Linked DNA regions of Rhinolophus ferrumequinum. The main gene of each other region encodes a partner of the protein of the gene in region 4 in a complex. Links are inferred from orthologs where the notes say so. Each region holds a gene or a part of one and is shown on either strand. Other genes may lie near its edges.

Region 1 (7,262 bases), on a different chromosome or scaffold from region 4:
TACAGAGTAGTACACATCAGCAACATAGCTTTTTAAAAAAAATATTATTGATCCTCAGTTAGTTGAATCTGTGAATTCAGAAGCCACGGATGTGGAGGGCTGACTGTGTACTCAGCTTGATACTCAAGATTCAGTTTCTTGTTTTACTCTGGACTATCTCCACCCAGGTTGGCAAATTTATGAAATCAACTCTTTTCTTCCAGCTAGCCATGGACATTCTGAGAGAATCATGTTCTTAAAGAGAAGTTCACCTCAGAGTAAAAGTGAAAGGAATTGTGACTAAGAAAAAAAAATCAATGTATATAAATTCGACCTATAGACAAGCTTTGTCCTTCTGTGCATTCATCTAACGGATTAATTGTATATTATCTGTACAGGAAGTGTATTTGACCCATAACATATCCAAATTCTTATAGAAATATGCTAGTTTATAATGGTGGTCTATTGTGTTTAAATATGTTTAAAATATCGACTATCAGAAGAATAACATCAATAATCTTTCTCTTTCATGGAAGGCTGCATTTACGCAATTAAAAAAACTGTGAAGAGTGCCAATAGTTATTAGTTTTGGTCTTTTAGATGTTACAGTTTACCTCCTATTAACCACTTCCCATTGAGTTTTTGCTGCTCTTGAATGTTTGGATAAATAATTGAACCTCTACTTCCCTTTGTCTGTGTAGGCCTAAGTAAATGGATTCCATATATTCTATTACTTGCAGTTCAAACAACGAGAAACCTCCAGCTCTATTTATGGAGTGGAGAAGGATCTTATCCTGAAATCTAGATTTTAGAGTCTAACATTTTTTTTAATGGGAAGTCAGTCATGCTGTAGGTGCTGATTTTGTTTGAGATGCGCTTGTGTTTAAAGAAGGAAAGAGGGAAGAAGAGCAAAAATAAAACAAGGAAAAGGAATGGATGAAAAATTTCATGATTAGCAGAGATTAAAAAATAGAATAGCATAAAAGCTATTGCTTGGTTGAAGATATGATGGTATTTAATATAATAGCTAATATTTCTACGTACTTAAATTAGCAGTTCACCATTATAGGATTCTGATGGGCAAACAATAAGCTTCCAGTAAGTACTTGTTTAATGTTATTTTGTGTCCATTTAGAAAAGGTATATTTTTTTTCTTCAAAAGTTTAATGGTTGTCTATCAATATCTGTATTATTCGGGTCAAAGCAAATATTTTTCTAAATATTTGTCTTGTTTGTAGGAAATATTTGACCTTATTTCTTCATCTAAGATAGGGTCTTTTACCTTGTTGCTTTCTATGGAAGCTTCTGTGTGCTGCTTTAGTTTAAAAATACTGAATGCGAACACTGACTTGAGAATCATTACATATGCTCTTAACCATTCTCCTGGGAATTGATACTTTTGAGTTCCTGTCTTTCTTATTCCCATCTTCTGAAAAGATTCCCCAAGGACATAAATAATTGAAACTTTCTGTCCGTTTTTAACTTTGGCTTTCTCTGGCACATATCTATGTGTGCACAGAAGCATGATATCGCCTCAAATCACAAGTATTTTCAATTATGGTTCTTATAGTATTATCTTTATCTCAGAGACAGGTCTTATACTTCTATTTGCATATAAACATATAAAGCCTGTTGTCATGGTTTTCTCCTTATATTTTTTAAGATGTGCCAAAAAAAGAACTAGAAAATTAATTATTGCCCTTTTAATTTTTTTTGTCTAACAGCAATCATTTTCTTTTCCAGTGTTTGTATGTGTGCTTTTGTACATGAAAAAGAGAGGGGAAAAAAAATCTCAATAAGGTTACTTTTTCCTATTCTTTAAGCCAAAATGTTGAAGAAATTAGATTTACTAAAAAAAATCAGAAAAACCTACTCATACATACTTTGGAAAATACAACATAAATAGACTTTGATGCTACCACTACGCATAGTGTAACCTTAAACAAAAAGAGAGTGAACATTTCATGGCTCCTAGGTTAATATTCTTTGTTCATTTTTAATTAACATAAATTTATATGAACAAATTATATATTTACATGTAATAACAATTGAGAATTAGCCAAAAATTACAAACATAAATTTGTCATAAAACTCGCTGCTTTGCATGAACTAAATCTCCTTTAAACTTTCTTCTAGATATGATTAAACACAAACATCTCAATTCTTCACTAATCTTTATTTTGTTACCAGAAAATTTTCTCTTAAATGAATAGTAGGTTATTGATTTCTGACTTCTTGCTCACTTACAGCCTATAAGACAACTTTTATCATCAGCCCTTATGATTTATCAACAGTTTATCTTGAATGGCAAATTTTGAGGAATTAGCAAAATTTTATTAAAATGGGATAAGGTCTGATTTTTGTGGAATTTTCCAAAATAACAGAACTGAGCAGAAACAATGCATTGTAGATGGCTATGGTTAATCCAATAGATACATAATACTATGCTGTGAAAATGGTCCTGTATTAGTTATCATACATAAGAAATAAAAGCCACATTATGAATATCCTCATTAAAAAGGTTTAGGTTGATAAAAAGCACTAAGTAGCAACCTCGCAACAGAGCACTAAGCAATGATTTAGGCTTAGAGTTGATAACCAACCCTTTCAGAAAGAATTGTAGACGCAATATCTTTCTTCAATGGCTTCAGATATTAGAGAACAGAGTGCTTCATCAGAGTGATCTAAAGAAATTGAGATTTGGCTCAAAGGCCAACAAATAATGGCTGACTTACCTTCTGTAGAGCATGTTCTCTTAAAGACATAAAAATGGAAATGGTCTACCTTAGTAGGAGGTATGGTGTCATCATTGAAATAATTGACAAAATATATTATAAAAATATTTTTATGTAGTGAGGCTATTATGATAACATATCATGTAGACAATAATGAGCATCTAATTCTGCTATTTGTAATCCCCATGCTGGGGAAGAAAATCTGCTTTTGCATCATTAAAAATTGGAAAAAAAATGATGTACTTGACTATTTAGTTATCTAATTTTGGCGTGAAAAGCTATCTTCAGTTATATAAAATATCCTTCTGACTGAGCTTTAGTTCTCACTCGCATTACATCCCACTTCATCTCTCATTTGCTAGCTCCTGCTGCCACATTCTCTATGCTTAGCATAAAACAAACGAAGTTAAGTCCCAGTGGGGTGCCTTTTGTGAGGTCACTCAGAATAGGAAGAAAGAAACAAAGAGCAAGAAAGAGATGTAGAGCATATAACAAAAAAATAACAACAAAACAAAACAAAAAACAAAGAAGGCACCAAAAAGGAGAGGTGATTGGGAAGAAAAGATCACTGGGTCAAGAATCATAAAATTGTACACACTTTTTAAACGTTGCTAGTAAGTAGTAGCATTATCAGTTCTTCTCTGTTTTGGGAGATTGCCTACAGAGAGCTGGAAAATCAATTCCAAATTCATAAAGGTCTTTCTCCTTTCATAAGCTCCTTCTGAAACTAAAGAAGGACTAATTAAAAATTTTACAGCCACATCATAATTCTGGCCTTGACGCATATGCAGGATGGCCATTTTTTTTCCCATCAGGGATCATGTTCTCTGCACTTCTTGTCAGAAGTGCTCTAATGCACTACTGTAGGGAGCTTAAGAATTGAAGATATTCAAGGAAATCTTTCCACCCCTGGCACAGCAGTTCCTTCTTGAACGAGGCCTCTGCGGTCTGAGGGGCCTAATCCAAGACTCCTGTGTTCTTTCTACGAGAAGGCCTGAGCTCGCCCTACCATTGGAGATGGTTCGGCATTGCTACTCCTCCTTATTTCTCTCCTCTCCCTTAATTTTTCCTCCGAAATTCAGGTGCATTCATAAATTGCTATCCTTTTCGTGCCTTCACATTGGCAAAGTGAACTCACCCTGCAGCAACCATGTCAAGGCAGGGCAGCCCACTGGCCAGAGCAGGGCGTTTGGAATCTTCTGGAGATAGTTTCACTAGGGTTGTTTGTTACAAAGCCCTTTTCGCAGCACTGTCTTCCCCGGGTGGAGAATCGTCCCTGAACCCCTCTGTCCTACCCAAAGTCAGGACAGCGAAAATTTTACAGCACCAGGTCCTTCCTCCTCTGACGTCCTCGCCAGGTGATTCACAGCTGGACGTGGGGACGGTGGCACAATTTGCATTCAGCCACACCAGAGGGCCTGGCCTCTGGCACTGTCGGGCAAATACACAGTGCCACCTGGTAGGGAGTCAAAAGTGGTGCTTTAAAATGCAAATACAAACCCCTCCTACATTTGTTGTCAAATCACTTCGCCACGATTCCTAGCTAGGCAGTGGACACGGAGCCCAAGAGGAGGGCTGGGGGAACGCTGCCTGCATGTGCAAAAATAAACCCCGAAGACGCAAGCCAAATACTCCGCTGGAGCCTCTGTAGCCCGTGGATGCCCGCCGGGAGGCTGGCTGTCCCCCGGGAGCCCCGCGGGGCTGGGTCCGCTCCCCCTCCGCACGCGGGGCGGCGGGAGCCAGCCGACGCCGACTTTAGGAGTTCCTCTCTGCCTTGTATGGAGGGCTGCTCCGGGCCCGTCTCCGCCCGACTGCTCTGACGCCCAGCCCTCCCGCTGCCCACCCCCAGCCACCTCCCTCTGACTTGCCGGGAGAAGCCAGACGGAGCCTCTCCCAGCCACAAGTCTCTCCGCCTGCCATTCCCCCATTTCTACATCCACCCCCAACCCCCTCCCAAGCGCCGTCACCCCTCCTCCGCCCCCGCCTCCGCCTCCTTCTCCTCGGCAATCAGGGGAATAAATCAGGGAAGAAATCGAGAGGGAGAAAGAGAGATAACGAAAGCGCTCGAGCGCCGGCGGGCTTGCCCAGGTCTGTTTCCAAAGTCGCCCTTGATGGCGGCGGAGGCGAGGCAGGCGCGGCGCGGATCCGCCGACGCGCGCTAGTGGGTCCGCCCGCCGCCGCCCCTTCCCCGCGCCGCGCTGCCCCCGATCGCCCCCCGCGCCAGTCTGCGCCCAGGACCCCGGGCGCGCCAGCCCTCCTGACGTCTGCGGTCCGGACAGCGAGTGATCCTTCTCCTCCTTCCGCGGTTTCCAGCACCGTTCCTTCCCCCGGCTGGGGAGGGAGGCGGGATTGATCTTCGATCGCGAAGATGGCTGCTGGCTGCCTGCTGGCCTTGACTCTGACACTTTTCCAATCTTTGCTGATCGGCCCCTCGTCGGAGGAGCCGTTCCCTTCGGCAGTCACGTAAGTCGCCGGCCGGGCAGGGCTGGGAGTGCGGGCCGCGGAGTGCTGCGGGAGCTGGGCGTGGGGTCCGTCCCCGAATCGCGAGGCTTTTCTGCCCGTGGGGGTGGGGAGCGAGCCGGGCTTGGCTCCGGAGAGGCCGAGCAGGAGGTGCGCGCGTCTCGCCGCGGGAATGCGTTGCGATCCCGCGTTTCGGAGGGGCTGGAGCGGTGGCCGAGCCATCCCGGGAAACATCCGCCGACGACTCGCGGCTCCTCAGCCCATCTATTAAAGGATTCTTTAGACTTAAAGAGTTTACATGCACTGGGGAAAAAGTTTCCAGTCAGGTAGTCGCTCTCATCAAACACAGTTTAATAAAAAGTTGTGTTGTGGTTGGGTGTTTTACAAATAGGTAATTTCAGGCTTGTCAGGATAGTCTGGACTCTCCCGCACTTTGCCTCTGGGATGCTCTCTAATTGCTGTGGTGTCCAAACTCGTTTAGATCTTAAATTACCGGGCGCACTTGACAGCCTTTCCGCTCTGAAGAGTGCTTGCTCCCGGCTGCTGAGAGTACCGTCCGCCCAGAGGGCTCGCAGGTACTAGGACCCCGATATCCAACCCCCGCAATCCTTTATTTGAAGCATCTAAGTGCCAAAGACACGCGGTCCCTGTTCTTAGAATGAATAGAACCTAGTCTTTGAGGGAGGGACTCGGCGTTTCTAGAGTCTCCTGCAATTTTCTCTTTTTTAAACATTTCTAAAATAACTTAAAGAAACTCGCTGCTATTCGGAAAATAGTGTTTAAAGGTAGCTGTCTATGCAGTCACGGCAGGAAGGGAATGAAAAATACTAATTCTTCTCTTAGGATGGGAAAAAGAAACAGTCAGTGGCACATAAAAATACATACATATCTTTAAATGCGCTGAATAGCCAGCCTATCAGGCATTCTGGGAAAGCATTTATTTTGGTTCTTGAAGCTGCTTTAAAGCTTCTGAGAGTAGGTAATCTTAAGTGGATGAGTCACTTTAATGCATTTTACATAACAAAAACAAAGCCCAAGGTAGCCTTCCCGGAATTTATGATGGAAATTATTTGCTGTCCTTTGTTGACTGAGTGCTGAATACTGGAGTTTTTGGTGGATACTAAGAGTGAATCTTTACCAGTTGAAACCCTGCAGCTATTATTTAAGATTCAGCTTAAAGTATTTATTACATTAGGTGTCAGTGCAAGCATCTGAATGATGCACATTCTAACCCAGAGAAGGAAAGTCTCTAATATTTTTTGTCATTGATTTACAGTCATGTTCCTTTTTAGGTAATCTTCCATAAAAATGACTGCAGATCCTTTTTTTGTTATGAAGCGAAAGGGTAAATGCTATCGGTAGATCTTCGTTTAATTGGCAGGATGTTCCAAGCGGATATTTTGAATTATAAAAAGAGTAAGAATTACCCTAAAGATGCTTCAAAATTACGTACTCTTATGAAGAAATTACACTTTTATTTATTTAAGTTTTTACTCTTTTTCTAGCTTGGCCTATGCAGTGAGAACTCAAGGACTTCCTTGCATTTTTTGTCAAATAAAAAAGTGGCTCTTTAAAAAGGAGTCAATGTGTTCAGTTTACACATTTTTAAAGCAGTTATTTTTAACTGACAATTTATCAATATTTCTATAATTTGGAGGGAATACATCATCACACCATTGGGGAAAGCTATGACTTTAAACTACAACAAAATACAACCTTTTATTCCTGAACATACCATGGTACAATGTTAATGTAAAAATTTTTATTGTAAGGACAGCTGCAATAAATGATTTCCTACAATTAAAATAACTCAATTTTCATGGTCAGAAATTCATTAGAGACAAGAAAGAAAATAAATAGTGAACAAAAATAGGGATTAGGAAACCACAATTTCTTTTTTTTTGAAAGGATTTGAAATTCATTTTTTAACAATGGAAATTTAAGATGTCTTCAAATTACATGAAAAATTATTTCATGAAATGAGAGCTTAATAAGAGATTTTGTAGTAAGTCAGTCTCCTGTAGATAATATTAACAATATTTTGGTAAGACTTCTGTATCTTCAACTATTTATTTGAAAAGTTAGTAA
Region 2 (7,239 bases), about 34 Mb from region 4:
CCTTGTTTGCCATGATCACCCCAGTGCGCAGCGTTTCAAACACAGGGTCATTGCGATTGGCGGCAGCTAGTGGGAATGGAAGAAGAAAGAAGCTGTTACTGGGGAGGCAGAGCAAGGCTTGGAGGACAGAGACACCGCCTAAGCAAGGGAGAGGTGGGACTGAGCAGATACGTGCGTGTGTGCGTGTGTCTGTGTGTGTCTGTCAGATTAGGGAAGGGTCACTTGGGCAAACACAAGTCATCAATCTACAAAGAGCTCCAAAAACATCACTGGAAATGTAATGTGATCGAGAAAAATATTATCAGCACTCCTTCTAGGCAGGGCATTCTCAGAATCACTATTCTCCTTCTAAGTAGAGAGGTCCTTTAACTGCTGGCTTTTGTTCCACTAAGTGGCATGTGCCAGCTGGGGTGCCACCACCAGTGAGTTCTTTTTTACACCCATGCTCCTCACAGAATTCAGCCTCTCCTCCAAATAAATGTGGAGCCAATTGTCAAATAACGTTTTGTAAGGGTTGCCAAATTAAGAATGTGCCCAGGGTGTCCACAGCTCTTGGTCTGGCCCTGAGTCTGGAATTCTTCTGTAAGGAGGATGAGGATTGTCAGAATCTTTGTTCACTTAAAAATGGTTTTGCATATGAAGAGCACAGATTTTGAAGTTAGGCAGATGAAGGTTTTCGTCTTGGCTCTGTCTCTTGCTAGCTGTGTGGAGATCTAGCTAAATCTTATCTCCCTCAGCTATCAAACGGGAGTATTGACTCTGCATCCAAAATGGCTCAAATATTAGGTTGAGAGAGAACCACAGGAAGTAGAATCTTTCTGTTTCAGAATTTGGCTTCCAAAGCTAGAGATGGTGCTGAAACCATCTCTATCTAGGCTTGCCCATTCCCTCAGGTCCCAGGGGGGGCACTTACAGAGATCTTTGACACAAGCGTACTGCTGGTTGCTGTAGAGTGGGGAGCTATAGGCCCGACGGAAGCCAGGGGGCTGCAGGGTAAGATGGGATGGGAGAAAGCATTAGAGAGAACACAGTAGGGCCCAGAACCCCATCTCTCCCATGAGTGCTCACCCCTTCTCGAAGTTAAGAGATAGGCTGAGAAAGAAAAGGCAGGAAAATGGATGGGGTGACCTGAGGAGGGACTGGCAAGGGGGTAGCTGGCACCTGTCTGCTCCCTCCTACTGTCTGGCTCCCCAGTCTACTCACGATCTTGCCGAAGCATCTCTGCATCTCCACGTAGGACTGACAGTGATCGTGGATGCTAGTTTTGCAGTTCTTACAGCGAAGCCCAAATTTGTTGTTGACTTGGGAGAAGGGGAGAACATTTCGGTGAGGCTCCTGTTTCCTTCTGCCTTTGTACCGTTGTTGCTACTCTAGCTCTCAGGTCCCTCTTCTGTCTGGGAGCCCACACTTGAGGTCTCTAACAGTTATTTTCTTAAAGCCAATTCTTGCCACAGCCTGTCTGCTATACAAACACTCCTCTGCTAAACCCTTTCCCCCTGTCCCGCCTTCGACATCACACGTTCTCCACTTCCCTTCATGACTCACGCACAATCATCCGGGCACAGACATCACAGAACTTGGGCTTCTTGAAGAAATGTTCTTTGAATTTGTGGGGCTTATCATTGACAAGCTTCGGAGGTTCTGGGGGTGGCTCCTCTTCTTCCTCTTCTTCCTCCTCTTCCTCATAGATGTAGTAGATGGGCCCACCCCCAGCTCCCACTGCCTCCCCGTTGGCCTGGGGCTCTGGGGGAAGCTCCATTTCCTTTGTCCCTGTAGACTCCTTCCTGAATAACTGCTTCAGCCGCTGTAGCTGAGGGAGGGAGGGAGGGAATGAAGGAAACCCAATGTTAAAAGAATTGTCATGCTCTCTAGGTAAGGCTGAGGCTAACTAGACATGTTCCTAACCTGGGGTAAGGGGCACACCCCAGGATTAGGGGGTACTGGCGGGTGCAGGTGCTGGCTAGCATCCTAACAATAAATGAGTCGCATATAAGTGCCATCAATTCAAGCACTTTTCAAGGGCTGCGGTGGCTTTGCAGCTCCCCACACCCCATGGTCAGAGGCCCAGACTCACCCCACTTTGCCGAGTCTCTGCTGGGAAGGAGGGCTTGGGCGACTCCAGCACCTCCTTTTCTGTCATCCTGCAAGAGGTTGGACCCCACTATGAAATCTAATCTCTGACTGCCATTCTTCCCTCCCTTATTCCTATCCCTCGTAATAGGGTGGTCCTTGAAGGGGAGGCTTTGGGAGAAATTTGGTTAAACAGAGATCCTTTCATAGGGCTTATGAACAGGAAGATTCCATTGAGGTCCAGAGAAAAGCCCAACAGACAAAAGAACTTCCCAACCAGTTCCTCTAACGATATCCATCCTTCCACCCTGAAGGGCAACCCCAGGGATTTTCCTACAGACCCTGTTTCACAAAATCTGTGGGCAATGAGACATGACACACACCTTCCCGAGATCTTTCTTCGAGAGGTTTGATGTGTGGAGGGAAGCGCTGGGACATTTGTTATCCCAACCTCTTTCTTGAGCCCTGGAGGCCCAGGGCCTAGTTCCCAGCCTGCCTCAGGCCTCAGCTATTTTAAGTTTTCAGAGTAATAGGAGCCTTTCCTTCTCTTACTACTCCGTTCCCTTGACCCAACCCCCACCCCCCCTCCAGTCCTAGCTCTTTGTCCAGGAGTAGAACAGTAATTTCACTCCTAAAACCCAAACTACTCACAGACAAGGAAAGAAATGAAGCTGAACAGACTCAGGATTGGGGAAGCCGGGGTGAATAGTCCTGGAAATGAAAAGGGGAATTGGCAACTTACGTTTGGGGTTCCCTAAGTCAATCCACAATCAGTAGAGGGAGGAAGGAGCCCCTGCGGTGTTGGTGGTGGGGCTGGAGGACTGGTCCTCTTCCTTGGGGGCTAAGCCCCCCCAGTACCCTCTGTACTCACACTGGCTACCCAGGCGGTATTTGTAGACCTAGCCTCTTGCCTTGGTGTCAAAGCTGAAATGACAGGGCTAGAGGAAAGTGGACAGCTGAGCGACACAGCTGACACAGAGAAATTGGACACGGAGAGGTCTGGGCAGGGCTGGACCCTAACCTCTCCCATCCCCCAGAGCTGCCGTTCCTTGGTTTTTCATCTATGGTGTGTAAGTCAGTATGGGCTAAATTCAGGAAGAGACAGTGTTCATGCTGTGTACTCGTGGGTGATTTTTAGATGACTAATGGAAAGACGAATTACAAACAGCTTTCCCAATCCCCTTTCTCCAAGGCCCAAACACCTCCCCAATTCTGCCCTCCCTGGACCTACTTCAGGAACTAGGCTTTGACTTCTCAGCCATTGTCTTCTTGTGGCCATGTGTTTTTATGCCTTCAAGCCTTTAAGAAGGAAAAGGCTGGGAACTGGTGAAGAAAAGAAAATTTGAATTTTCAGAGCTCTCCTATCAGCCAGATTGCTTTCTTCTCTACGGGTAGATGGAGGGGTACATGCTGCTGTCCTTATGGGAGTGAAGAACGTGTAGTACTGCTGTGTTCCTTCCAGTTGTTCCCAAAGACTTCTTTCCCCCTATTCCTCTAAAATCTTGTCCTCAGGGTGAAGGTATTTCTGAGAGCTATTAAACAAAGCCAGGTTGTGACCCCCATCTGAGGGCTCTGGAAGAGGAAGGGTCTAATGATCAGGTAGAGATGCTATTGTTCACACTGGAAAGACGGTAACAAACAGCTGCCACGCAGGGCATTTTTACCGTCTGTAAGGAATATCCCTTCCTCATGAGAACTGCAAACTCTGGGAGGTGGTAGGATGGCCAAGCCTCACCCTTCCTGAATCATTCTGATCCCGATTCCTCTTCCCTCCTCTGAGGCCCCGGTGTATGAACTGATGGCTCAGTGAGCTATCTGGCATTCTTATCTCCCAGGGATGCAGCCTTCTGCTCTGTGCTGACACCGCTGAAAGGGAGATACTCCCATGGTAGGGGAGCAATTTGGAGGTGGCGACATAGTGTTGCTTTATCCCTTGTATCTTTAAAAAGTAAAGGATTACTTTGGAGGTTGGGTCAGACAAGCCCCAGAGGAGCGAGCCTCACCAGAGCTACTCCTACCCAGAGCCAAGAGATTTCCGGGGCGATGTTCTTTGTCATTTCTGCTCTTTTTTCTCTTTAAGGGGTGGCTCAGATTGAAAGGGGGCTGCTGGATGATTCTGTGCCTACAGGCTCTTTAACAACTGGTCTGACAGGCTAAACAACTAGGATAGTTTTGAGAAGCCTCAGAGGAAAAGCTCCATCTTGTAGGCAGGTGACTTCTGCTCTTCACCTTTCTTCAGCTGCATAGGACATCTGGGTAATATGGCATCTGGGCATTGCAAATTTAACGGACGGAGCTTTGTATTGTAAGAAACATCCACTTCTGTTCCTGCCAGGTAGAACCCAATCCCCTGGCTTTAAGATTAAAGGCCCAAGTCTTCTATCCCTGAACATTAGACGGACAGGTATGAGGCGCATCTGAATCCAGGTCTGGACCTCAACTCCCCGTCCCCAGCTCAGGCTCAAGGACCCTAAATGAGTGTTACAGAATTAACTGAGAGGACGGAAACTCAGGGGTCACCTAGTCAGTCCACATCTCTTATTTTATTGATACAGACTCAGAAGTGTCGAGTTGAGAAGTGTGTGCTTGATGAATCAGAGTTAGTTGCAGAATTGGGAGCACCCAGGACCCAGGTCCCATTAGAGACCCAGGTACCTCAGAACTATGTGTAAGGAGGAGGCTGGGACACAGGGAATAGTGTTAGGATGAGATAGGTGCATATGCTAGGAAAGCCATCCAAACCCACATCAAATCCCTCCAATAACCGTGGGGTTGTACCTACCCAGGACCTCCAACCCCTACCCACCCCAGGGCGGCAACACAGAAACAGGGACTGACGTCCAGTGACAGATTTTTTTTTTTATATTTAAAAACAAAATCAACCTCCCCCCAAATGATGCCCCCTAAACAAACAAAAACTCAGATTAAATAAAATTTACAGTGAATATACCCAGCAAACATCTGTTATGTGCAATTAAATACTGTATCTGTTACTTCGGCACGAACCTCAAACAAACAATATACAAGTGTTCTGGGGAGTAGGGGTGGAGGAAGGCCCAAGTTTTAACTCTGGGGTTTGGGGAGACAAGATGGGGGAAGTGAGAGAAAAGGGAAATCAATTTCATTTTTCTTAATTCTGTCCATATAAATATATTCATAAAGACCAAAAAAGAAAAGGGAGCTTGGGATGATCAGGAAACAGGAGAACAGGGGAGTGTAGGACTCTCCCAATTCTACCTAACCAAAAAATATCAAAGAAATTAATTTCATGGTGGGAGAAGAGATCAAAAATGATAGAAGAGGATGGGAAGGAGGGGGAAGCAGAGGAAGGCCAACCAGGGAAAAAGAGGGGACCCATGGCAGGGGAGTAAGAAGGAGTCCAGTGCCAGTGTGAGTGTCTGCTTCCATCTTCATCCCTACTGTTTTAGGCTCCAGTTTAGTGTCTGTCACCTTCCTTTCGGTCTCTGTCCATGGTCTATCAGGATCCCTCAACACCCTCCACCCTGCCCTCTCCCCTGCTGTGCTGGTCCCTTCCCCTCCTCCCTTTATTGGGAGCTGGCTCGCTCCAGGATCCTCAGGTCATAGTTCTTTTTGGCCACTCGAAGTTTGAAGCGACTCACAGAGTTGTTGAGGCGAAGGGAGGCATTTTGGGCCGCCAGGGGGCTGGGGAACACAGCCACGATGGTGTACAAGGCAGCGAGGTCCGCGTGGCGGCCGTTCTCGGCAGTCCCACTATTGTCCCCCCCACCTCCGCCAGGCAGCCCCTGGGCATCCTTGAGCCATTGGATCTTGGCGCCGGACATGGCGAGCTGAGTGAAGAGTTTGTCCGCCTCGGTACGAGTGATGCCCTCAGGGAGATCTGTCACCTCCAGCACCCGCCCCAGGACTGGAAGGGAAGGAGAGAGGACAAGGTTGTGAGAGGATTAGAGTAGGAAGGACTGCACAAATATCCAGCTGGCCATGTCTGTATACAACATTCTCAAAAGCCTGGCCTTTCTCACTTCGCCCTTCCCTCCTTCCCCAGTCAACCCAACTCCTCACTATCCAGACTCTCAGCAGGGCAACTAGGAGAAACAAAGGAACCTTTCTCCTCTAGCCTAGAGATGCAGGCAAGGAGAGACTGGGAACCAGAATCCCAGATTGAAGATCTGGAGACCCGCACCTCAGTTCTCTCACAGGGAGCTGTTACTGTGAAGGAGTGTGGCTTTTGCTGATGTTCTTTGACAAAGTCAGTAGCGTAATCTGAAATATGTTCCATAGCTCCCTTCCCAGTGGCTGGCCCCAGTAGATTCCTTTTTTATTATCTATGGAAGTCAGTTTCCCCTCCTTTCCTTGTTTAGCAAACTGTTCCAAATAGGGGAAATCCTGACAGATCTCGTATGCCTAGTACGGAAGGCCTGCAGGAGGCGTTACTCCTCCACATTCCTTTGTCAAGCTTCTCCTAAATTAGGTCAAGGACTACCAAAGGTAGACAACCTTGACTAAAGTCAGGGCCACTGCCACAAGACTCTGTTGATAATAGGCTCAGCAACCCCCATCATTGTGTTATTCCCAATTTTTACCATCATCTTCCCCAGCACCTGGAATAGCTTGGTAAGGAGGAGAGAGATACTTCACTTCTGCAACTTCTCCTTGCTCCTGAGTACAGAAGGGTACCATTTCTACTCCCCACCCTAAGCTGGCTTTTCCCTGCCATCCTGGGCTAGTAATGTAGGGCTGGAGGGGTGAGCAATTTCTCTTGGAGATTCGGCATCCTGTCACTCACCAACATCTGTCGTCCCTAGGTCAGTGGAGGCAGATTTGAGTGCTTGTCTCTTGCTCCGGTTTCCATGTTTCAACCCAGTCTGTCCCTTCAACATCAGAAAGATAATTCTCATCCTGGGTAAATAACATGGACTGCCTCGCATTCCAGTGTCTGCCTGAGAAGTTAAGGAAGGAGCAGCACCCAACCCTGAGGACCCCCCTCACCAGGTAGTCAGATTGGTCAAATAGCCACTGAGAAACAAAGAGCCCCTCCCTCTTGGCCACGGGGTGGGGAGAAAGGAATGAATGGTACTGGAGTGCGGTAAGGCCCTTCCACTTTGTCCATTCTCTGTCTGCTGTCTCCTTTGTCCACCCAGCTGGCTGAGGTAGATGGCTCAGAGATAGGGGCCCGAGTGCGAAGGGGGT
Region 3 (6,884 bases), on a different chromosome or scaffold from region 4:
TGGATTTATAATTGCAGGACAGGGGAAGGTGGGGGCGCTGATACCGCCAAACCATCACTCCTCCCCCCTCCTGGGGAAAAGCCTTCTCTGAGGGCCTGGGTAGACCATCCTGAACCCTTTCTCATCACTGTCATTTCCCCAACCCCGTTCCGCCCACACCTTTATGTTCATCAGGAACTTCGCATCTAGCTCAAAGCCCTCTTCTGCTCCCCAAGTCCTACCACCATCAAACTGAGCCACATCAACATCTGTGGGGCCGGCCATTCCAACTCCCTGGCCTCACAGCTCTGCCTTCTCACCTCCCTTGCCCTTCATCTCCAACCTGGATCTTCTCATCAGCCCTGACTGTCCCCCCTGTAATCTTCAGGGCTACGTCCTCCTCTCTGACCGCAACTTCCAGTGCTCCCATTTCCTTCACCACTACAGCTGTTCTCCAACCTCATCAAACCCTTCCGGGCCTTGACCTCTCAATTTCCTCCTAATATGTTGACACCTCCTCGTTGCCGGGCATCCTAACCAGCCCAGACATGGCAAGTCATCATTTAAACTCACCCTTGCCGATGCCCTCAGTTCCCTTGGGCCCTTTTCTTTCTATCTTTTCTCTCCTGAAAGAGCCTCAGCCCTCTTTCAATCTCACCTTCCATCTTCCCCATCCCTGCACCTGAGCTAAGAAGTGATGCCAGAGAACATCAAGCAAGTTCAAAATCGATGCTTGTGGTAGACAGAATAACGGCCCCTAAAATGTCCAAGTCCTAATCCCTGGAACCTGTGACTATGTCACTTGACACGGCTAACGGGACTTTGCAGGTGTGATTACATTAAAGACAGGGAGGTTTTCCTGGATTATCACCTTAACCACACGGGTCTGTAGAAGGGAAAGAAGAGGGAGGCAGGAGAGTCAGAGATGAAGATGCGATGACAGAAGCAGAGGTCAGAGTGATGCGATTAACTGCTTTGCAAATGGAAGGCTTCTGGACAGAGGCACCGGATAGAATTGGAGGCAGCAAGCCTGATGCAACAGAGAGTCCCAGATGAACAGTGACAGGAGGCAGAGGGAGTGGAGTAAAAGGTTGGGACCAATTGGGTGGTGCCTTGCTTTTTTATACAGGATCTTAAGATCAAACACGCAAGGCCATTTCTTAGCCCAATTAAGCCTGAGCTCAAATTAGATCAGCGTATCGCCAAAGAGGGGTTACTGGGCCCCCACCCAGGCGTAACCTGGTCCTAGCTCTGAATGAGGCCCACCTCTGGGAGGTGTTTTCTTTCCCCTAGTTATGTCTGGTCCTTCTTGGGAAAAGATTAGTCACTTGGGATAAATGGAAACGGGTTCATCTGAATGAGGAAAATACAGACAATTACCAAATTTCTCAGTGTGGCACATCTACTTTGAAGATAATGTCCTATCTCAGGAGGCTGCTGTGACAGGCAGGCAGAACTTGGTCGCAGAGGTGACGACAGTGCCTTCCTGGGGTGTCCCTCTGCACCTGGAGGTAAATTAGCCATTAATTCAAGCTGTCCCGGGGCTCCGTGTGGCCTTAAGCTACATAGAAATGTCCTTTGGATCACCCAGTGGAGTAAATTATCTAAGCTTCTATCTCCTTCTTCTTTCCATCCATGAGTCCATCATCCATCCATCAGTCATTCAACAAACATTTATGGAGATCCCATCCTGGGCTCAGACCTAGGGGGCTTCTCTAAGGGGACCCAAAATGAATACATAATACGGTCTCCCCGTCTCTATCTTCCCATCAGAGAAAGCTGATCCATCTGCAGTCTATCGATAATAATAACAGCCATCCTGGATCAGTTGCCTACTGTATTAGTCAGCTCAGGCTCCCATAACAAAATACCACAGGCTGGGTGACCTTAAAAACAGAAATTTATTTCTCACAGCTCTCCCTTCAGTCCTAGATCAGGGTGCCAGCCTGGGTGGGTTCTAGTGAGAGTCTCGGCTTTCAGCTTCTCACTGAGTCCTCACACGGTAGAGAAAAAGAGAGAGAGGAAGCCCCCTGGTGGCTCTTCTTAGAAGGACACTAATCGCATCACGGGGCCCCACCCTCATGACCTCATCTAACCCTAATCACCCACCAAAGGCCCCGTCTCCAGATACCATTACACTGGGGTTTGGGTTTCAACATATGAATGGGGGGGGGGCGGATAATTCAGTCCATAGCACCTACCACAGGCTAAACTGATAAATCCATTATCTCTACTCCTACAGCAGCTCCCCAGCCAGCTGCCATTGCCCTCATTTTATAGATGAGGAAAGGGCAGTTTAGAGAGGTTAATGGCTTGCTGGAAGCCATACAGCTAGAGATTGGCAGAGCGGGGACCTGACCCTGGGGCTGTCCGTTCCATCACTGGCAGGCTGACTCCCAGTCCCTAAGAAGCCATCTTTCCTGATGACCTGGAAAAGGTAGGACCTGTGTGGAGGACGTTGACGTCCCCCAGCCCTGGCTCCCAGCAAATGCTGGAGCCCCCTTCCTGGCCCAGCAAGGCCCTGGGAAGTGCCAAGCGAGCAGCCTGGCAGTGGCTTCCACGAGCAGAAATGGTCTGTTTGAAGGAGCTTTTAGTAAATGAGAGAGAGAAAGGAGACCTGCCTGCAGTGCCTGGCACTGCCAATGCCGTGGGAGATGTACAGCCCGACTACTTCTGAAGGAAGAGACATCAATCTTTCCTGGCTGGGTTGGAGGACTCAGGACCCCTGCATGTGGCACAAACCTGCCCCCCACTGAGGGAAGGTGCAGCCTGGCTGTCTGAGGAACCTGCAATGTGGGTGCAGCTGACACTGCGTGGACCCCGGGTGTCGGGCCCCCACCCGGAGGCCAGGATTTTGAAGCTCAAAGCCCTGGCCAGCTCAGGGGTTTATTTGTGGCTATGCATTAACCTCAGATACACCCCAAAAGAGGCACCTGGTGAACTGAGGAAGAAGAGGCCGAACCCAGGAGGGGTGTAGGGGCCTGGAGACCAGCCTGGGGGTCATGTGGGCAGACAGGCCCTCGGATGGTGGTCCCAAACTTTCACGTCTTCTGCTGCCTCTGCTCACCCATTAGCCTCACAGTAGTCACCCATAAATCAATCTACTTCTGTTCTTTTTTACTTAAATGTATTTATTTTGTAAATGGAAACATAACTGGAAAATCTTTATTACCTACAATTAATAGAGGTAAAACTAAAACAGTAAAACCAAAACAGAACTACAGTCAGGTCCCGCTGGATTCCGTGTCCTCTCCACGCTTTGATTTGCAAGTGTCAGCAAGGTGGTAAAGACTTACTAACCCTGAACGGGGCTTCTCTTCTGGACCAAATAGGAGAGACGGGAGAAGGGAACCAGAAATAATGTTCTCAGGCTGGGCAGTGTCCGGCCACGCCAGGCCCAGGAACCACCTGAAATCTTCCTGCCGTTTGGGGGATGGCATAGGCCTTGAGCTAAAGCTCTTGCCTGAGTAGTGGGCTCCAGAGGCCCTGGCGGGGCGGATCCCCAAGGTGTCCCTAGGCAGGATTGTGGGTCCCCCAGGCCTCCCGGACAAGGACCCACTCACCCTGCCCAGTGTGATAACCGAAAGCTGTGCCACCGTATCTCCCAGGGTCCCCTGCCCTCACCCAGCAGTGCCCTTTCTCCTTCAGGCCAGAGCAGGCAGACTCCACACTGAGTCTCCCTGTTGCTTATGCCTCACTCCCTCCCACCTCAGGTGTCCTGAGCTGCCACTCATTGTAGGTCTCCAGTCACCATCCAGATCCTTCCCTCCTTGCCCCTCCCTGGGGTATTTCTGGCTCCGTGAGAGGAAGACAGCCCTGAAACCCGAGAAGAAGTCATCCTCGGTGACGGTGGCGTGCCTGTCCATGTGCATTAATAGAAGCCTCCCTCAGGCCCCTGTCACGTCTGGGCAGCTGCTCAGCCCCGTCCAGTGTCCCTCTGCCCCAAGGCCAGCCCACTCTGGCTCGGCCAGGCACACTAAACTTAGCTTCCACCTCCTGCACCATCACTGCTGCCACCACCCCAGCCTGGCTGCCACCTGCCCAAGGAGACGCTGCCGCCGGACTCTGTCCAGAGTACACGCTCCTCTGCGACCACCATGTCCCAGATCAAAGCCCTGAAGATCCGCGCCACGCTCTTCTGCATCCTGGTGGGCATCGTGCTGGCCACGGTGGCCGTAGTGACCGACCACTGGGCTGTGCTCAGCCCCCAGGTAGAGCACCACAACACCACCTGCGAGGCGGCCCACTTTGGCCTCTGGCGGATTTGCACCAAGACTATTGTCATGAGCGACAGCAAGGACAAGAGCTGCGGACCCATCACCCTGCCTGGAGGTAACGTACCCAGTCTCTGTCCCCTGTCCCTGCTTCCTGCCCTTTCCCACCCCCCTGGAAAAGTGGCCAGTGGGAAAGAGGGTAGGTTTTCCGGCCTTAGAACAGCCCTCTGCGTCCGGGGAAGAGGATCTGAATTGCATGAGGTTGTGCTGGCCGCCAGAGTTGGGCTGTAAAATGAGGGCATTTGTCTCTCACTATTTCTGTCTTGCTGAGGCTTGGGGCTTTTTACCCAGAGCAGAGGGCTGCTCAGGTGGGACGAGAGGCTCAGGAAAGGAACCATGGACCTGCCAGACTAGGGGCTTCTGGCCCCAGCGGCAGTCACTTTTCTGGGTGTGCCTAGCTCCACTCTCTCCGTGCAAGGACAGGCTAGTGGCCCAATGTCCCCAGGGAAGGGACCTGTGGGGCTGGCTTGTTTCTTCAGGGTATAGAGGCTTCTTTCCCAGCCTCCAGGGTATAGACAGGATCAGCTGCAGAATTTATAGGGCCTGGTGTAAAATGAAAATGCAGGGCTCCTTGTAATTATTTTTAAGAATTTCAAGATGGTGACAGCAGAGCATGAAATCAAGCCTAGGTCCCTTCTGGGTGCAGGGCCTTCAGTGACTGACTACACAGGTCACACATTTGTGAAGCAGGTACCTGGCTATAGATGAGCCACCTGCCTTTTAGTCAGAACTGTCGGTCCTTCCATACATCCTCTCTTGGCTCAGACCCCTTCAGAGTTGGAACGCATTTTCTTCCTCTATAATATAAGCGCATTCCTCGATGTCCTACCATGTGACCAAACGACACGCTGAAGGTGAATTCCTTCTCAATAATACCTGGGTGGGGTATTCTGCAAATTAGGTCTCTTCTGCAAATGTGGAACCCTCTGCACTCATAGCAAATAGAGCACATGCCGAGGGAAGAACGCTGCTTGGAGAATCAGAGTCCAGGGCTCTAGTCATACATTGACCATAACCCCCCCAAATGACGACGGTGGGGTGGGGTGGGGTGACAGCCCATCACAGCCTCTGGCTCCTCCTATGGTGCTTGGGGTCAGCAACATGAAACCCCTTCCAGTGCTTACAAATATCACTCCAAGGCGGCAGGGCATTTGGGTGAGTGTGGTGTCCCACCTGGTTTTCAGAATATTTCCTTCTGTCATTCGACTGGGTGTTCCTTGAAACCTGCCCTTCTAGGAAATCAGTGCCAAGTCTGCACACATCTTGCACTGTATGTGTGGGACAAAGGAACCCAAACCCTGTGCCTCCCTCTTCCCTCCTTCGTCTTCCTTCCCCTCCTGCTGGCTCCAGGGAACTCCTGCCTTGCTTATTCCCACCGGATACTCGCAAGACTTGTAAATACCCAGCTGTCTTGGAAACATTGCGTCCCAGGGCTGAGGGCTTTAAATGACATGAACATGCACTGGAAGGGTATCACATAGCTCAGATGCCCACGCCCCTCGGCCACTGCTGAGCACACCCGTAAACAGATGCATTATCCAGCCAACTCAACTGGGCAGGGAAGGGCAGGGCAGGGTGAGGCAGATTCTCCAGGGACCATGCACGGAAATGCACTGATATGGTCCTGTCCACCTGTCCTTGGAAGCACCTGCCTTTTAAAGTCTGGTGAGTGTACAGAGCAGATGAGGAGGGAGGTGAGCTAAGTCTATACAAGGAAGAGACAGATTGGTGGGAGGTGACCGAATCTGCCACAGGGGACCAACAGGCATGGCTTGGCCTTGAACCTGAGCTGAGTCTATCTCTATGCCTTCTCACTCTGATCCAGAGTGAACCATACTACTCGTGAGCACTGCCTTACCCCAAACAAGCTTCTGACATGCATCCCTGCCTTCTTCCCTTTCCCTTTTCTCTACAATCTTCTTTCTTCCCCAGCCACCCTCCCTGTGCTCTATGGGTTCACTGTTTTCTAGATAGATGAAAAGAGATCACACATGTTCTCTGATTTATTATTAACAACAACGATAATAATAACAACTGCCAACACAGACAGAGCAGTTATCTGGAAAACATTGTTTTCAGTGCTCTATAGATATGAATTACGAGAATATCAGAGAAAAAAAAATGACAGAGTAAGAACCTCCAAAAGTCCTCTCCTCCATAAGAACAATGAGAACATTGGCAAAAATGATCAGCATAAACTTTTTCAGAACTCTGGAAATTAATCAGTCTTGCAGCAATCCAGCAGTGCTTATTCTAGAGAAACGGGTGAACCTCAGTAAGAACAGTGAGCTTTGTGGTGTTTTAACTTGCTCTATTCTTATTTCCACCCCACCCCCAACTCTGTCACAGCGTTGACAACCCCCAGCCTGCAATCACAGTGAAAACCAGCAGCCTGGTAGCCAGCCATCATCAGAGGGGACAGAATGGGCTGGATCTCTTCCAAAGTGTCATTCCCAAAGAGCGGTCATTATTTGATCCGTCTGGTGATTCCCTGCAAGTCCCTGTTTGCAAGGCTGTCTTTATTTGACCTGACTCTGAGCTCCTCCAGGGGAAACAGTCTTTTCCCCGGGCGGGGGGAGTGGGGGGTCATTTGTCAAAAACAATTAGAAACAATTATTTAATATCACAACT
Region 4 (6,969 bases):
CACTCTGGTTCATCACCATCACCGATCTGAGGTAATCATTTGGCTTCTCCTCTCGCTCCTGAAACTCTAACCTCCAATTATGTTTCATTGCCCCTTTGGTTATTAAGTCACAGCAACCCCTTCCTCGTGAATATCCATGCCCTTCCAGGTCTGCCTCTCCCCACCTCCATCACCCTCTTCCTCTCCTCCTCCCCTCCCACAAAAAAACCTGGGCAACGCCAAAGACCAAGGAAGAGGGGATGGGGAATGGAGGGGAGACAGGGATCCTGGTGGTTTTTCACCTGAGAACCGCATCCAGGAATGGAGGCAAAACTGCTCCTGTGAATTATATAATCACTGCAGCTTCAAGGGAGAGAACTGGAATTCAGGTTGCCATAGTGTTTGTCGGCATGTTGCTGGAAAGGCAGAGTTCCCAGCCCTGCTCGCTCGCTGCCTTTCCCTCCATCTTCCTACAAACCTCTCCAGGGTAGGCTCCTACTTTTAATGTCTGCTCCCTGCATTTGTGTGTGAGGAGGGGGTTGCTGGGGGACAAAGAGGCAACAGGAAGGAAGGACAAGGGCTAAGAAAGGGTTGATCCTGCACTAAGAGGAGAACTGGTAAACTATTTCAGATTATTCTGTGCATAATAATCATTACCACAGTATCCTGCCATTGTTAGTGTAGTGAGGACAACGCTACTGAGCTCTCCTCTTCAAGGCTGCTTAGCCTGAGCTAAGAACCTGGAGGGGAGAAACCCATCCCCACTCTTCACAAGTATCAACCTTTCCTTTGTCTCTCTCATTCCCTCCCCCCAATCCATTGGCTATACCATCAGCTAGGCAGGGGACTAGGGAGCAGGTGAGGGATGGGGCATGGGAAGAGAAATCCAGGGACAGAAGCTGCCCTTGTGGCCCCAAAGCCCTGGCTCACCCTAGAACCCATGACCCTTGAGAAAATTGTTTCTACCAAAAGAAGCCAAAATCCCCACACTGCCACCGAAGCTGGAAAGCAGAGGGACAATTTGCCCCGAAATCAGTTTCAGGCAGGTAGGATGCCTAGCAGCCTCTGGCTCTGAAGGGTAGGGACACTGTCCCCAAATTGTGGAGATGAGGGCAAAAGAAGGGAGGAGGCTGGGAAAAAGAAACATGGAGACAACCCCTCCACCAGGCTGGTCCTCAGAGGATCACCTGAAGTAACAAGTAAACCCAGTAACAAGACCAACAGCGACAGGTATTCAGGAGAAGAGATTGAAAGGAAGAGTGTCAATGGGGAGGCTTGGGAAACTGGGAGAGAAAAGGGAGCGACTACACCCGAAAAGACAGAAAGCCATGGAGAACACACACAGATGGAGCTGGAGGCTGCCACACTCCAGCAAGACCACCCCTCTACACTCCATCAAGACCTTAATTGCCGAGCAACACACAAAAACACAGTAACTTGTTAATAAGGGGGCGGGGAGGGGGGAGAAAGTTTCCCGGAAGTGCAGAGTTACCTGAAAGCCTTCCCCCTCACAGGGGGAGTTGGTGACACTTGATGCCAAGGATGGAGATGCTCGGAAAACACTGGGCAATAGTGTGGAGCCGCGTGAGCTCGGCACACCCTTTTATTATTTTCTTAACATGAAAAAGCAAAGCCCACACACCGCCCGAATTCTAAACGCTTACATCCTCAGGTGCTAGCCCACATGTGGGCGCGAATAAGAACACACGGGGCGTGGGCACCCTCGGGGTCAACGGCAGTGGAGAGGTGGGTGGGTGTAGGTGAGCCGGGGAGAGGGGTAGAAACTGGAGGAGAGGGGAGAGAGGCGCCGAGCCTTGTATCTGCATGCTGGGTCCCCACTCGCCCCCCGGAGCGCGCGGCCCAGAGCAGGGGCACCTGGAAGCGAGCGGGACGCCCGAGGGCGCCCCGGCGCTGGGCCGGCCTGGTGCGGGGTGCGCGCGCGCGCTCCCAGCCGCGCCCCAAGCTAGACCAGGGACCCCGGCTGGGGGCTCGAGGAGAGCAGGGTTCGGCGACGCCGGCGCCCCCTCCCCCACGCGCGGCGGGCAAGGCAGTTGGGCTTTCCAGGCAAACAAGAGAAAGCGAGGCAGAAGCAGACACTTGGGGAACTTTTCCCCCTCGCCTGGAATTTCATAGGAAACACATGCGCCGGAGAAGCCGGCACGGGAGGGGGAGGGGCGGGAATTTTCCGCTCCTTCTTGCGGGGTTCGGGCCCCGGTCCCGCGGTTCCGGCAAGGCGGAGGCGCCCCGGGCAACTCCACAGGGACGTGCCCCAGCGCTGCGGGGCGAGCCGGAGCGGGGCGGGGAGGGCGGGAGCCCGCGCTGGATCCCTGGCCGGGCGATGGGGCCAGCCTTACCTTGGTGGTTTTCCTCTGGGATATACATCCTCGTGTTTTCATTGACCATTGACCAAAAATTGTTTTAAAAGGAGAAGAAGCGACAAAGAGGAAGAAATGTCAAAACACCCCCCAGCGGGTCTGGATTAATCCCTCCTCCGAGGTCGGCGGATTTCGTGCAAAATTCAAGGAAGCCGTGGATCTGCGGTATTTCTTCTTCCCTTCTGATGATTACCTGATTCCCATTATTGCATCAAACACCAAAAACTGATCCTTTCCACTACTGCCTCCTTGAGTGAAATTGTAATGCATCCTCAGTACATCCGGGCCCCTTCCAAGAATTTAGCACCGCACCTCTGGCGGCTACACGGTTTGAAAAAATAAACCGAGAGAGGCAGCGAGAGAAGAGGCGGAAAGGAGGGGCAAGGGGAGCGATGGAGCCGAGACGGGGAGACAGGGGCCGCCCGGGCCAGCAAGGGCTGAGCCGTCTCCGCCTCTCCTGGCCAGTCCTCCCGAGGCCCCGGCTCGGCTCTTCTCTGTCAAGAAGCTCCAGCAACTCCGGAGGCGCGGAGGCAGGAAGAGGCGCCGCCGCTTCGGGCCGCGCCGCGCCGAGCGCCGTTCTGGCAGGAGCTGTTTCTGCAGAGGCAGCGAGAGGGAGACACGGGGCGCGCGAGAGCGCCGCGCTCACCGCCTCCAGCCCAGCCCGCCGCCGCGCCCGCGCCCGCGCCCTCCCCGCCCGCCCGCCCGCCCGGCGCGCTGGAGGCAGACGCGCTGAACGCTTCCAGATGTGGCGCGGCGGCGGCGGCGGCGGCGGCGGCGCGCAGGACCGGGCGCACGACGCAGGGCGCACGGCAGGGACCGAGCCCCCAGTGAGCACCCGCTCGGCCCTCGGCTGCGCCACGGAGCCAGCCCTGCTGCCCACATGACGTCAAGGGGCGCAGGCGAGGCGCGGGCTCGGAAAGGGCGGCGACGGGGGGCTGCGCGTGGCGCCCCCCGGGAGGCGGGGCGTGGGCCGATCGTGGGCGCTGGCGGGCCGCGCGGGCGCCGCACCGACAGCCCCCCGCGCGCCCCTCGGTCTCCAGACTTCCTCCCTCCGTTATCTTCGGCAGCACCCCCGCGTCCCTGCGCGGCAGTCCGCGACGGGAAGGCCTCTGTGAGCGGAATTCCAACAGGGGGGACTACAATCTGCCCAACTCGCTGAGTCTCTGCAGACCCGGCCACTGAACAAAACAGCAAAATGAGCCGTGATTCCGTGATTCTGCCTGATCAATTATAATCAAAGCGGTTGTAGAAGTGACACACAGACATACAGAGGCTAGGATCGGAAGACGGGGGGGCGGAGGGGGAGAGGGGGAGAGGGGGAGAGGGGGAGAGGGAGAGAGAGAGAGAGAGAGAGAGAGAGAGAGAGAGAGAGAGAGAGAGAAAGAGAGAGAGAAGCGGAGGGCGGAGCTTCGCAGGGAAAGCAGTGGTGCCCAGATGTCTGAACAGATTAATAGACCCAGGTTTTCTAATTCCTTGGAGGCAGCCGAGCACGTGCTCTACTAGGATATCCTTACCTACTTCTCTTAATTATTTTTGCCACTCTGGCAGGAATCTATTGAGCGCCTCTCCTTCCATAAGAAGCAAACATTTCTCTCCAACTCATCGCAGCCACAGCAAGTACCACCGCACCCCCTGCAGGCCCTGGATCCTCTAAAGTGGGCTTCCTGAGCCTTGGCAGAGGAGCCTGCAACTCCCTCTTGGGTATGCCTCCACATTCCTGTTCTCAGACCTCACCTCCCATCTCCACTCATTCCCTGGCTGATCCTATCCATCTCCATGGATTTAAGCAGCTGTCTATATCCAATTTGTATCTCCAGCCCAGACCTCTCTTCCTGAATGCGAGGCTATACAACCAACCTCAGTCTCCACTTAGGTGATCAATAGACTACTCAAACCTAACATATCCAAACACTGAATTCCTTTTTTCTGTACAAACCTGCTCCTCACACAGCCTTCCCCATTGCATTTGATAGGAATCATTCCAGACTCCTTTCTCTCATACCCCCACATCTAATCCTTCAGGAAATCTCCTTGGTTCTACCTTCAGATAAAGCCACTTCTCAGCTCCTCCCCTGCTGCCTTCAGATCTGAGCCAACATCTTCTTTCACCTGGGTTTGTACAGAGGCTGCTCTCCCTGGTCTCCCCTCCCCACCACTCCTGTGGTTTATTCTCAATTGACAGCCAGAGTAATCTATTTAAAATGTCATATCACAGCACTTCTTTGGTCAGAGCCCGCCACCGGCACTCCATGTCACTTAGGAAAAGCCAAGGTCCTTAGAGCAGCCTGCACGGACCCACGTGAACAGTGTGTACAACTTCTCGTGTCCTCTCCTACTGCTCTCCTGCTTGCCCAGCCACACAAGCCTCCTTACTGTTACCCAAACACTCCAGGAATGATTCTCTCTCTCTCTCTCTCTCTCTCTCTCTCTCTCTCTCTCTCACACACACACACACACACACACACACACAACTTCGAAGCTGTAGAACAGGAATAATAATAGCTAACACTACTGAGTGTTCTGTGCTGTGATAGGTGCTTTACAGGCATTACTCATGTAATCCTCATTGCAATCCTATATGGTAGATGGTATTATTATTATCTCCATTTTACAGATGTGGAAGCTGAGACTTAGAGACTTAAGTTACATGTCCAGGGTCACCCAGCTGGTAAACTGTGGAGCCTGGACTTAGGCCAGGAGTGGCTGCCTCCAAATTTGCATTTGGTCTTAGAGGGGATGACAGGGTGAGCTGGGTTGGGGGAGGGAAGTGTGCTGTTTAAAATGACAGTGAAATGATTGTAAAATATGCTGCAGAGAATTCACAAAAAAGCCAGATAACTGAGAACAGTGTATGTGTGTTAGGGGGGCACAGGCTGGATTTATAGCCAGGCTTTTCTAAAGGTAGGCACTGTATAAATCTAGCAAGTAAATATTACCTTCATGCTTCTTTAGTTTCATTTTTCACTTGTCTTTTCAGCTGTGAAATGTGTTCTTTCCCTTCCAGAAAAAGGTATTTCCTAAATGTTTGGCCTTGCAATGTAAGCCCATATCTCGGCTTCTAACTTTGGAGCACAGCCCTTGGTGTTCTCTGTTGAGGTAACAAATTCTCGACATGACAGACAGAAACCATTCTGAATTCTGATTTGGGTATTTGGGAGATGGTGGGAGCAGAGGAGGAAGTTTTTCTTTCTTTTTTATTGCATGATTTAATTCTCTGGCTGAAGGTACTCCCTCTTCTCTCCTCTCCCATAGTTCTTCATTTGTCTATAACTCTATCTACATAGTGTTGTATTTCTGTATAGTATTGTACTTGTACACGAATGTGCCTTTTATCTGCCCCCTACTGCGCTTTCAATGTCTTAAGGAAGAGAACTGTGTTCATTTTTCTTTGTGCCTAGCATAATGCTTTGTGCATATGGACAGTTGGTGTACGTTGAGCACATGATTCACTCTGGAAAAGATTCCTTAACTGACCACAAATATTTCCTTTGGAAGCAATTAAGAGTGCGCTGAATTTGTTAATTACAGTGTATTTATAAGAGAGAAAAGCTTGGAAACAATCTAAATATCCAACAGAAAAGGTTGACTACATAATAACATTGAGAGATTATCCACATCTAAAAAGTTGTTTGCTCCTCAGAACAACTAGGGGAGTACAGTAGTACCTCAGTTTTCGAACATCTCTGTTGACGAACATTTCGGTTTACAAACGCCAAACGCTGTAAACCCGGAAGTAAATGTTTCGGTTTCGAACACGCCTGGGAAGTCGAACATGTCATGCAGCTTCCGCCAAGTGCAAGATCCTGAGGCCTAGCTGTCGGCTGTTTTCGAATGTTTCAGAACTCGAACAGTCTTCTGGAGCAGACTACGTTCGAAAACCGAGGTATCACTGTACTCTTATCCTCCTTTTACAGGTGAGGAAACTAAAGCACAGAAGAGTTAACTCTCTTGCCCAAGTTTTCACAGCTACTGTGTTTCCCCAAAAGTAAGACCTACCCCAAAAATAAGCCCCAGTTAAGATCGTCAGCCAGACGGACACATTTAGTACGTTATGACGATGTTCCAGAAAAAGATGACATGACTGTATTTGAATAAATGTACATTGTTGTACATGAAAAAATAAGACATCCCTTGAAAATACGCCCTAATGTGTCTTTTGGAGCAAAAATTAATATACGACCCTTATTTTCGGGGAAACATGGTAGTAAATGTTGGAATACCCGGGATGTGAACCTCAGCAGTCTATCCTCAGAGTCTATGCTTTATAGATAAACGAGGGTGAAATCTTTACATAGATGTGAACAATATTAAGGGTTAATGGAAAAAAGACTATTTACACTACAATAAAAACAGGGTCTTCTATATAAAATATTATATAAAATATCATGCATGCTATGATTTCATTTTTCTTTTAAAGACAGGTATATATTTGAACAGGGAAAGCGACTACAAAGAGCTCACACCAAAATGTTGACAATAGCTTTCTCTGGGAAGTGGAATTGCAGGTACATTTTTTCTTTTTTCCTGTCTGACCCAGGGCTTCGAAAGCCAGTTTGCCAGGCAGGCCTTTCTCTTCCCTGGGGACCCATACCTTCAAGAAAGAGCCCTCCCCTTG

The links.
Region 1: the proteins of CACNA1C (region 4) and CACNA2D1 are in contact, whole or in part, in a cryo-EM structure (PDB 8WEA), measured with the Homo sapiens proteins. The link is inferred for Rhinolophus ferrumequinum from reciprocal best matches to the Homo sapiens genes CACNA1C and CACNA2D1. Residues at the interface, in NP_955630.3 of Homo sapiens: Phe147, Pro148, Glu149, Asp150, Asp151, Ser152, Asn153, Ala154, Asn678, Lys1090, Gly1091, Asn1092, Tyr1093, Ile1094, Tyr1096, Gly1099, Val1101, Pro1104, Ile1106, Arg1109, Tyr1156; in NP_001353796.1 of Homo sapiens: Thr170, Asp171, Tyr173, Ile233, Leu235, Gly262, Ser263, Ser265, Lys270, Thr274, Ala327, Lys328, Gly329, Ile330, Glu366, Gln391, His392, Tyr394, Ile416, Gly417.
Region 2: CACNA1C (region 4) and STAC3 share a complex: the UniProt entries of both Homo sapiens proteins name them as parts of the calcium channel complex. The link is inferred for Rhinolophus ferrumequinum from reciprocal best matches to the Homo sapiens genes CACNA1C and STAC3.
Region 3: CACNA1C (region 4) and CACNG1 share a complex: the UniProt entries of both Homo sapiens proteins name them as parts of the calcium channel complex. The link is inferred for Rhinolophus ferrumequinum from reciprocal best matches to the Homo sapiens genes CACNA1C and CACNG1.

What each region holds. Positions count from the first base shown.
Region 1 is NC_046303.1:41,907,021-41,914,282, forward strand, and holds the start of CACNA2D1 (voltage-dependent calcium channel subunit alpha-2/delta-1), read left to right. Parts: upstream 1-4,253; 5' UTR 4,254-5,082; coding exon 5,083-5,177; intron 5,178-7,262. UniProt on the Homo sapiens protein: The alpha-2/delta subunit of voltage-dependent calcium channels regulates calcium current density and activation/inactivation kinetics of the calcium channel. Plays an important role in excitation-contraction coupling.
Region 2 is NC_046293.1:56,296,314-56,303,552, forward strand, and holds the start of STAC3 (SH3 and cysteine-rich domain-containing protein 3), read right to left. Parts: upstream 3,014-7,239; 5' UTR 2,813-3,013; intron 2,142-2,812; 5' UTR 2,141-2,141; coding exon 2,075-2,140; intron 1,811-2,074; coding exon 1,546-1,810; intron 1,302-1,545; coding exon 1,204-1,301; intron 987-1,203; coding exon 914-986; intron 67-913; coding exon 1-66. Other genes in the region: R3HDM2 (R3H domain-containing protein 2), read right to left, coding at 5,616-5,956, 6,836-6,920. UniProt on the Homo sapiens protein: Required for normal excitation-contraction coupling in skeletal muscle and for normal muscle contraction in response to membrane depolarization. Required for normal Ca(2+) release from the sarcplasmic reticulum, which ultimately leads to muscle contraction.
Region 3 is NC_046304.1:43,756,451-43,763,334, reverse strand, and holds the start of CACNG1 (voltage-dependent calcium channel gamma-1 subunit), read left to right. Parts: upstream 1-3,875; 5' UTR 3,876-4,076; coding exon 4,077-4,311; intron 4,312-6,884. UniProt on the Homo sapiens protein: Regulatory subunit of the voltage-gated calcium channel that gives rise to L-type calcium currents in skeletal muscle. Regulates channel inactivation kinetics.
Region 4 is NC_046293.1:89,981,114-89,988,082, reverse strand, and holds the start of CACNA1C (voltage-dependent L-type calcium channel subunit alpha-1C), read right to left. Parts: upstream 3,014-6,969; 5' UTR 2,383-3,013; coding exon 2,334-2,382; intron 1-2,333. UniProt on the Homo sapiens protein: Pore-forming, alpha-1C subunit of the voltage-gated calcium channel that gives rise to L-type calcium currents. Mediates influx of calcium ions into the cytoplasm, and thereby triggers calcium release from the sarcoplasm.